Arabidopsis thaliana: one gene and its partner. The protein of the gene in region 2 purifies or fractionates together with the protein of the main gene of each other region. This does not show direct contact. Each region holds a gene or a part of one and is shown on either strand. Other genes may lie near its edges.

What was found. The genes of interacting proteins can lie anywhere in the genome.
Region 1: the proteins of RPT5B (region 2) and AT1G75990 fractionate together in Arabidopsis thaliana (co-fractionation; one large-scale study listed by BioGRID). This does not show direct contact.

Annotation. Positions count from the first base shown.
Region 1 is NC_003070.9:28,523,894-28,528,860, forward strand, and holds AT1G75990 (PAM domain (PCI/PINT associated module) protein), read right to left. Parts: upstream 2,956-4,967; 5' UTR 2,826-2,955; coding exon 2,747-2,825; intron 2,652-2,746; coding exon 2,461-2,651; intron 2,349-2,460; coding exon 2,211-2,348; intron 2,124-2,210; coding exon 1,987-2,123; intron 1,897-1,986; coding exon 1,731-1,896; intron 1,564-1,730; coding exon 1,324-1,563; intron 1,243-1,323; coding exon 730-1,242; 3' UTR 511-729; downstream 1-510. Other genes in the region: AT1G75980 (Single hybrid motif superfamily protein), read right to left, coding at 33-81, 169-409; AT1G76010 (Alba DNA/RNA-binding protein), read right to left, coding at 4,612-4,721, 4,815-4,967. UniProt on the Arabidopsis thaliana protein: Acts as a regulatory subunit of the 26 proteasome which is involved in the ATP-dependent degradation of ubiquitinated proteins.
Region 2 is NC_003070.9:2,935,971-2,941,122, forward strand, and holds RPT5B (26S proteasome AAA-ATPase subunit RPT5B), read right to left. Parts: upstream 3,394-5,152; 5' UTR 3,289-3,393; coding exon 3,172-3,288; intron 2,828-3,171; coding exon 2,711-2,827; intron 2,472-2,710; coding exon 2,364-2,471; intron 2,246-2,363; coding exon 2,054-2,245; intron 1,956-2,053; coding exon 1,764-1,955; intron 1,668-1,763; coding exon 1,549-1,667; intron 1,472-1,548; coding exon 1,384-1,471; intron 1,303-1,383; coding exon 1,183-1,302; intron 1,003-1,182; coding exon 862-1,002; intron 783-861; coding exon 705-782; 3' UTR 558-704; downstream 1-557. Other genes in the region: RBOHB (respiratory burst oxidase-like protein), read left to right, coding at 1-326, 416-525; AT1G09130 (ATP-dependent caseinolytic (Clp) protease/crotonase family protein), read right to left, coding at 3,761-3,889, 4,102-4,182, 4,395-4,478, 4,553-4,606, 4,827-4,900, 4,988-5,084. UniProt on the Arabidopsis thaliana protein: The 26S proteasome is involved in the ATP-dependent degradation of ubiquitinated proteins. The regulatory (or ATPase) complex confers ATP dependency and substrate specificity to the 26S complex.

The DNA of each region.
Region 1 (4,967 bases), about 26 Mb from region 2:
TTCAACAGCAAAAGGAACAATCTTTGACATACCCATTAGCGTGACGGTAAATATATTGATCATGACCCGATTTAGTAAAATCTGCAAAAACATTGAAAAGGGTTTAATTCACTTCACACTATCAAAAGGGGTTTTGAAAAACACTAAACAGTAGGTGAATCTGAGAACCTGTGATGAAGTAAGAAACAAAATTGACTTGTGTAGCTGAAGGAGGAGAAATCGGAAGTTCTCCAATATCTGAAAGCAGAAGCTTTCTCAATTCGTCTTCCTCTTCATCTTCTTGTGTAGCTAGCTGCTGCTTCTGTTGGTCGTCGCAATCTTCTACTTCGTCGTTTCTCTTTGGGTTAGTTAATTCGATTGTATCCTCAATTTCTGGAAACTTCGCTACATCAAGCTTCAGAATCTCCATTGTTTCGACTGTTTAACCTTTGACGGCGAAAAAACAATCGGAGTTACTTCGCCGATTTGTAATTACATAACTAATGGGCCTAAAGGCCCATCTACTGATCTTGGGTTTGAATCATGTTCATGTTCTTCTATATTACTAACTTCACTTCTTCAGTGAATTTATTTACCAGAATTTTGATCCCAATGTGGACTTGTGATAAAGTTTGAGATTTTGTTTTTTCATAAAGTAAAAGAACTGATGTGCATAATAACAAGAAAAAGTCAGATAATTCAAAATAACAAAAGTGTTAACAGACAAAAACAGTAGAATTTGAAACAAATCTAGAAATCATCATCGTCTTCCTCAGCCATGTATTTAGCGAGCTCCTCTTCTTGCTGTTTCATCTCCCTTCTTTTCTCCTCGCTCTCTTTCTCCCTGTGCGTGTTTGGCGGGAACCTCAGTGCTCTAACCGCTTCATTGTGCATATTCAAACAGAAGGCAATCCTCGAGTTAAACGCAGTCTGTGGTTCATTAGTGGAGTAGATGTCTCCTGTTTCCTTGGAGACCATACAACCGTTCTTGTGGTCGATGGTTGCGTCGATTGCTCCATCTCTAATGGCTTTAGCGACGATGCTTTCTGCATCAGCCACTGGGTTCGCTGAGTTCAGTCTCAGCTTTTGAGCAACATCCTGTAGAGAGATTCTGGAGTAGGAAATGCTGATGTTGCGCAGTCCTGTTCTGATCACGTTGTGTCGGAGTCTGACTATGAGGTTGTGAGTCCTGTCTTCCGCAAATGTTTTGGCAAACTTCTCTTGGATTTTCCCGAACAGCTCCAAGTCACCAATTCTCACAGCCTTACAAAATTTAAACAAGAGTATTAGCAAGAAAACCTTAATTAAAGCATATGTTAGAAATGTAAAAAAGATTGAACTCACGTTGGTCAGCTCAAAATATGGCCTAAGAGTCTTCTCCATTCCTTTCTGAGTGAAGATAGATCGTTCAGGTATTTCACCCAACAACAGCCGAACTATGATAGCCCACTTGTTGCACTGGATTCTGAATCCCAGAGATGCAACAGGTGCTTTCCTAGCAGCTTGGAGGAGACTCTCTTTTGCATCGGTGTACTCAAGTTGAATCGTCCTGATCTTGCCAAGGTAAAACAAGTACCTACAAAACTGTAAATTTATATAACGAGATGAGTATCGTTTCTAGTTGAAACATGTGAATGTAGTTTGGAGAAATTCACAGTGAAAAGTTGGCATTAGTAAGCATCAGAGAGGTTGGCATAAGTAAGCATCACAATTAACTTAGAATTAGAAACTAGAATGTATGAAAGGGTTACCTGTTGGTTAGAGTGTGCCTCAAATCGAGGCGCTTTTGATCTCAACTTCTCTGCTTGGTCGTACAGGTTGTAGTGTAGATAATTGCGAAGCAACAGATTCAAAAGTGTTTCCTGGCCCAATTCGTCGTGGCGCAGTGTGGCCGAATGGTGAAGAGCAAGAAGAGTACTGCAACAGAAAGAGAGACAAGTTAATAAGATAATTGAGTGTTGAACTAATATGATAAAAGTTGAAAGATGACTGTGAACTTGTACTCACCTACGTATCTCTGCAAGATCATTAGTTAGCTCGTAACTTAAGGAGTAGTAAAAATACAATTTGGAAGCAATGACATCAACGGTTCTCCTGTTTACGCTTTTGAGGCGAGCAATGCTAGCGGTAGAACAAACTTTGGCCTGAAAGCAAAGAAAGTAAAACAATGAAGACCACAGCAAGATTTATAAATAAAGTATGTCAGTTAGAGAGATAGAGAAGAAGTAAACCTCGTTGTACTTTTTCTGATCAATGAGAAAAAGAAGAACAATGAAGTAGCAGTAAATCTCGAGCTCTGCAGGTAGATGCTTAGGAGGAGCTTGGGAATTCGATGATGCTGTATCAACTTCCATGTCATGTTCATCACTCTGTACCAATATTATAAATTCCATCAAATTAAGGGCAAACACTAATACATGAATCTAATTACAGATCCTAGATAAGCTCGTAATCAAAGTGGACAAGTGAAGCTACACATACCTTCGGCACAAAAGAAGAGAGACGAGTGTGAGCTTCAGATCCAGGAACCAAAGCGAAATCAAGGAAAGAAGAGATCACGGAACCCGTGAGCTTCCTTCGTAGTCCAACGGTGAGACGCACAGCACGAGCAATACGACGGACTTCCTTTGTATAAGATCCAGTATCAATCAGAGCTGCAATCTCCTTCAAATCTGGAGAAAAAAAAAAGCAGTACAACGAATTCAATTTTGAAACAAACCTAGCAATGTGAGATTAAGAGAAACTGAAGCATAAGATAGAGATTTACTCTGTAGCGTGGAGGTAGGAGCAGAGACGACGGATTGCGTTGGGGTTTGGTTATCTTTCATCTCTACGTCCTGAGTCATCTTTTTCGCAAATCTCAAGTCGTCTTCTTCTTGACGAAGGTAAATTAAAAATTGATTTGAAAAGAGCAGGGCTTAACGCACACATAAGTACTCTTATGTTTTCCTTTTTCTTTTCCTAGACAGAAATTACCAAATTATATTTGGGAAAAATGTTGTTTTATACGCGAACTTTCAAAAAGTAGCTATTCTATACGTGAACTCTGACGTCGGCCAAAATAAACATGAAAAATACGTTGACCAGCCATTTTAACAGAAACAAAATGTTGACCTCGCCAAAATCCCGAGACGTTAACTCGCTGATTAACCCCGTTAAGAGAACGTTAATGAATTCTGTTAAGACCAAAACGCCGTCGTTTCAAACCTAACGAAACAAATCAAAATGCCCAAATCGAAAACTCAATCCCTAATTCTCTCAAACCAAATCCCTAATTCTCTCATTGGTAAAATCGTGTTTGTTCTTCGATTAATCTTGTTGTGATTGCCTTAGCAATAGAAGGCGAAGTCGACATTGCTCCTGTTCCACCACGACGAGTAGCTGAAACCGGAGATGGAGTTTGATGGTGGAGTTCTAGCTTTGCCGGCTGTTGTTGTAGCAGAGTCTTCTGTCGGAGTTGAAGCTCAAAGAAGATAGATTGAGAGAAGTTGGATATAAGAAATCGATTTGGGGAAGATGAAGACTTAGGGTTTGAGTTTTCGATTTGGGGATTTTGTTTTGTTTCGTTTAGAACAAAACGACACCGTTTCGGCTTTAACAGAGTTTATTAACGTGCTGTTAACGGGGTTAATTGGGTCTGTTAATGCGAGTTAACGTCTCGGGATTTTGGCCAGGTCAACGTTTTGTTTCTGTTAAAATGGCTGGTCAACGTATTTTTCATATTTATTTTGGCCGACGTCAGAGTTCACGTATAAAATGGCCACTTTTTGAAAGTTCGTATATAAAACAACATTTTTCCCAATTATATTTTTCCATTTTATTTTTTTCTTTCCCTTGAAGGCAGATATTATCTTGTTTGTTAATACTATTAATGTCATTAATTAGAACATCAAAGTCGTTGTAGTATAGTGGTAAGTATTCCCGCCTGTCACGCGGGTGACCCGGGTTCGATCCCCGGCAACGGCGCTAACATTTTTTTATCGAGTAAATCTATTGTTAATACGGTGTCGACGAGTCTATGAGCTTCCTTTCCTTTGTTGTGTCTGTCTCATTAGAATTTTGAAGATCAACCCAAATTCGAGAATCGATGGTTTCTGGCTTTCTACTTCCATTTTTTTTCTCTCTCTGTGTAAATCTGCTTCCATTTGTGAGTTATTTTCGTTATAATGTTATATAAGAATTCAACTTTGCAAGGGTACTTGTTGGAAATAAAAGAATCAACTGTTCCATCACATTAAAACTGATAACCAAAGAAAAGAGGTAATTTGTCCAAACTGTGTCTCACTCTCACCTAAACAAAACTACAAAACAGAGGAAAAAAGAAAAGAAAAGAGGATGCCTCAGTAGTTCTTCTCTAACAAAAACCCAAGACGACGACCAACCATAAAATAAATTGAACATATATTCCTAAGCGACTCTAAACAAAACAGACCACAAGCTAAAACACTGTCAATCAATGGATAGTAAAAAAAAAAGAAGGGGAATGAGATACACTTATGGCAAACATGTCTTCTTGATGGACAGAAGAAGCAAACATAGAAAGAAAGTGAGAGAACAAGGAGATAGAAAAAAAACATCCAACGACTTGGGCTTTTTTCTTCTTTTTATGTTTGTGTAAGAGAAACCTCACTCTCAAGCAGCTGCCTGGACTGGTGGTCCATCTGATCTGTTGTTGAAACCACCATCACCACCACGTCCTCCTCCTCTTCCACGTCCTCCCCTTCCACGTCCACGTCCACGCCCTGCATCAAACCAATTCAAAACTCATGGCTTCTTCACACAATTACAGTTCAAGAACCAGGTAAAAGAATACAGAATGTTTTAATTTATTTTACCACGACCCTGAGGACCATCATAACCACCACGGCCCTGAGAAGGACCATCATAACCACCACGGCCCTGAGAAGGACCATCATAACCACCACGGCCTTGAGAAGGACCATCATAACCACCACGGCCCTGAGGAGGACCATCATAACCACGGCGAC
Region 2 (5,152 bases):
ACACATAAAAAACTATGTTGCCACAAAACGAGCTTATTTTTATTGGGTAACAAGAGAGCAAGGATCATTGGAATGGTTCAGTGAGGTCATGAACGAGGTAGCTGAGTATGATAGTGAGGGGATGATTGAACTACATAATTACTGCACTAGCGTGTATGAGGAAGGAGATGCGAGGTCAGCACTAATCACCATGTTGCAGTCATTGCACCACGCCAAGAGCGGCATTGACATCGTATCGGGCACTCGGGTCCGAACCCATTTCGCTCGACCCAATTGGCGTAGTGTCTTCAAGCACGTCGCAGTCAACCACGTCAATCAACGAGTTGGTATGTCACTAGCTATTACAACAATTCCATAGCTATTGTAGAATCTTTCTAGTAAGTAACTGATTTTCCTTTTTCTATTTTGTTGGTAGGGGTTTTCTACTGTGGTAATACATGCATCATAGGAGAGTTAAAGAGACTGGCTCAAGATTTCTCTAGGAAAACTACGACCAAGTTTGAGTTCCACAAGGAAAATTTCTAGTTTCGATTCTATTCATCCATCAGACCATCATTAGAAAATAATAAGCAAAATATGTCAAGCTGATATCTATTATAATTATAACCACACTTTGAAGGGGTTCTAGATTCAAAAGTTGAGACTACAACTTGAAGTTTTCTATAATGTAAAGAGGAGAAAGAAGAGTGTACATAAAAGAGGACTTAGGCGTAGTAATTCAAGCTTGCTTTCTTCTTGGCTTGTACTTGAATTATACCTTCATTGAAATCCTCATGGTTCACCTGCACACACATTTACCATTTCCTCCATATCATCCACATCCTAAAGTTACAACCACTAAGACGAAAGATATATGCATACCTCAGTTGCATCCCGGCGCAGGGCAAGCATACCCGCTTCAACACACACTGCTTTGAGTTGAGCTCCATTGAAATCATCCGTTGACCGAGCAAGCTCTTCAAAATTGACGTCTGCATTCACATTCATTTTCCTTGAATGTATCTGTAACCCCATCGCCAACATTATGCAAAAACAAAACAGTACCCAAGATAAGTTATCCGCGGAATACATAGAAAATCACAGCAAGACTTGTCTAAGTGCATGAAGCTCTCTAATTTTAGCTTTAAAACGACATAGAAATAAAGAAAGAAAAAAGAAAAGATGCAGTAAAGGATACAGAACCTGTAAGATCCTGCCTCTAGCTTCTTCAGTGGGGTGCGGAAACTCGATTTTACGATCCAAACGACCAGAACGCATAAGGGCAGGATCTAGTATATCAGCACGATTTGTCGCTGCAATAACCTAAGTTTGTAAAATTATGAGTTTTTCATGCCTTTCACTAAATAAATAGACATTTGCAGGGGTAATATGAGGGGTAACAACCTTAATGCGATCATCGCTGCTGAATCCATCAAGCTGGTTGAGCAGCTCCAACATTGTCCTTTGTACCTCACGGTCTCCACTAACTTCGCTGTAAGCCAATTAAAAGTCAGCATTAGTCATCAGAAAGAAAATAAAATAGTTATGACATGACTCTAGATAGAGTACCTATCAAAACGCTTTGTCCCTATTGCGTCAATCTCATCTATGAATATAATACAAGGGGATTTCTCTTTTGCAAGCAGGAAAGCATCACGGACAAGTTTTGCTCCATCTCCGATGAACATCTATACATAAGTCTAAAAAAAGTTACTTTCCGTTTGGTTCAAAAAATATCACAGGAACAAGATCAAAATCAGTTACGTTTACTCTAGTTTTCATACCTGAACAAGTTGTGGCCCTGCTAGTTTGAGGAAAGTTGCATTTGTCTGTGCTGCACAAGCTCGGGCCATCAACGTCTTTCCGGTTCCAGGAGGACCATACAAGAGTACACCTTTTGGTGGACGGATACCCAACTTTTCGAACTGCTCTTTATGAGTCATTGGCAACACAATGGCTTCAACAAGTTCTTGTATCTGTTTAATTACAAAAACAGGAGAGTCACCAACATCAAATATTGTACCAGAGATACTAAAAACTAAGGAAACATGAAACAGGAGAGTCATCAACTAGCCTGTTTTTCTAGTCCCCCTATATCATTGTAGTCTTCAGTAGGTTTTTCGTCGACCTCCATTGCTTTTACTCTTGAATCATACTCAGAAGGTAAAGTATCCAGAATCAAGTAACTATCTTTGTTAACTCCAACTAAGTCCCCAGGCTTCAATGTATCTGGATCAACAAGTCCAACAACAGGGAGGAAGATGGTCTGAAAAGTATAATTAACCCATGAGATCATTATACAAACACTACACTAGTAGTCAGAGTTTGTTCCCCACTAGTTCTGAAAATCTCTCTAACGGTGATATAAGAGTCTAAAACTTCACCTGACGAGTTGATGTTTTTAGAACGACACACTTTCCCTTCCTCTGAGAGTCCAGATCGATATTCGCTCCATCTTCCTCTGCATCATCCTCTGGACTCATCTCAAGAATCTAGAAAGCACGGATAATAGATCAAATCCTAATTCCATCATTACACAAAAAAAAATTTGATGGTAAAATGTCTGAACTACTGTGGCAAAGATTCAAGGAATTCATCAGGCTAACACTACTAGTAATCAAAAGCATAGTACAATTGTGTCACTCAACAAAAAGGAATGTTATACATACCAAAACCAAAAGCCCCATATAAGGAATGTGAAACACCCCAAGAGAAGAGTCAGTGAAAGTACCTCAACGATATTGCCAACTAAGTAAGGAAGCTGTTTGTTAAGCTTAATCTTCTCCTGGTTCTCCTTTATTTTCTCCTTCACTGATTCCAAATCAAGGTTTGTCCTCTGCGATTCTTCCTACAACAAATCAACGTATTTGAGAGAAAAAGACATCAAAAAATTCTGGTGAATTTCATCCAATGAGCAAAAGACCAGTAAATATAAATGTCTTCTAATCATATTCTATAATTATCTAACTATAAAAACAAGTACTTTGAGTGAATTTCGATATCTTTGACTGATAAAAAGTGTGATATGAAACAAGAGTTATCGTTGCTCTCAGACATCATCCATCTTCTTCAAAACTAATCAAAGTGTCGCTAATCAAATTAAGGTAATAGTGAGCTTGGAATGAAGAAATATACTAGTTCCAAGTAGCCAGCAGATTAAAAATATAGAGAGAAGAGAGAGAGGGTGGTGACCTTGAGGATGCGAATCTCGTTGGCTAAGAGACGAGAAGCTCTACCGATGTCATCAGTAGTCATGGAAGCTAGTTGGTCTCCCTCGAAGCTCGTATCCTCCGCCATCGCCGTTGCCATCTCCCTTAGCAGCCTGAGTTAATCACTGTAAGAGTCTACGAGAGATCTCAGAAGACATAAATAGGAAACAGAGTTTGGCTTTTGGGCGAAGAAACAGCTTTAATTTAATAACACATGTATTGTATTAAATATTATCACAGTCAATACCCAACAACAAATCCGATGTCGTCCAGCGGTTAGGATATCTGGCTTTCACCCAGGAGACCCGGGTTCGATTCCCGGCATCGGAGCGTTTTTGGTTTTGTATCCTTTTTATTTTTTTCACAATGTATCTTATATCTATTTTAAAATCAAGTTATTGCTAAGCAATCTGGTCAAATTGATGATGTAGTTTTCTTAAAAGCTGACCAAAAAAGAAGTGAAGCCAAATGGAAACAAGTAAGAAACTGTTCAATATTCAAATCGGAAGGGTGAAGAAGAGAGTTGAAGATTGTATTTACTATTGCTAACGAACAAACACATTACAATTTTATCATAATATTTCAAGATCCTTTAAGTATGATTCTCCTAATCGCATGTTCACATTTACCAAGTGATTTGAAACAAGGCAGTCTGCGGCCAATGTGATTTTGGTCAGTCTATTTGTTCTTCTCCATGACGCCTGCAAATGAGTAGAGTTCAAGCAAAATACAAATCATTGTAAATACAAGCGTGCGTTCTAATGATTTGCAGGTAAGTTAGATGCATTTGTATTTCTTCATCAGAGATTTCCATGAATAAGATGGATTCATGCCTAGAGTAGCAATGGAGAGTTACGCGTGTCACTTACAGTATGATTTAGGCCAAGAAAACTTAAGACTAGACTCATACTACGCTTTTAATCCCTGCATTCTTGTCGAATTCCTCTGAAGGAACCACGTCCGCAATAATCTTTTCTTGACCGCGCCAAAGAATCTGCCAATGATTATGAGACCATCTTTAAAGCTTTAACTTGGAAAAGTATGAAAACAAATTCATCATTACGCACAGGCAAACATCAGGAAAAGGTAGAAGAGAGGGAAACTTGACTGGAAAGGTTACTTTGCTTGGTGACGATATGTAACCTTTAATCTTTTAGTATGTGCATATGAAAAGCAACATCAAAAAATTACAGTGCCCAAACTTACCCTGTCAATGACTCCAAATTCTTTAGCTTTTGGTGCATCCATGTAATATGGCCTTCTCATTACGTTAGCTACAGTCTCCACGGACTATATGACATATAAGAATGTTTTAATCAGCTATCAAATTTCTCCACAAAGTTATGAAAATATTTCGCACTCACATTCCCAGTATGCTTTGATAGTAGTTCCACAAGTATATCCCTATTTGTAATGACCTGCAATTGCATAACAGGAATGAGGAAGATGAAGTAATCAAACTCAGATTCTTCACCTAATTAGGTCATGAAATTCTGAACCAAATGCTTAAGTGAGAAATTTCTGTCCAAATTATCAGAGATATAATATAGGAAAGTAGGTAGAAGCAAAGCAGAAAGAGAAAATCTCGATCAAATTTAAATTTCCAGAATATTAAGTGTGTAGAGCGATTCATCAAACCTCTTTGGCCCGAATCAGGACATCACTGGCAGGCATCAACCCAGAAGAAGGTACACGTGGTTGCTGAATCATCGCTGTGACATAATGAATCAAACGTATGAGAGGTTCTGATTATCAATGGTGAGCCATAGAAGCGGCCAGAATGCAGTCGAAGTCTATACCTTTGGCATGTGGCATCATAAACCGTTTACCCTTGGTTCCCGCAGAAAGTAATAGACAGGCCTGACCTATGGCTGCTCCCACACATACTGTATGTACCTGCACAAATAAGAACCAACATGCTCACATGAAAAATACCGTGGAGACGAAAAAGTGTTTATCTCGGT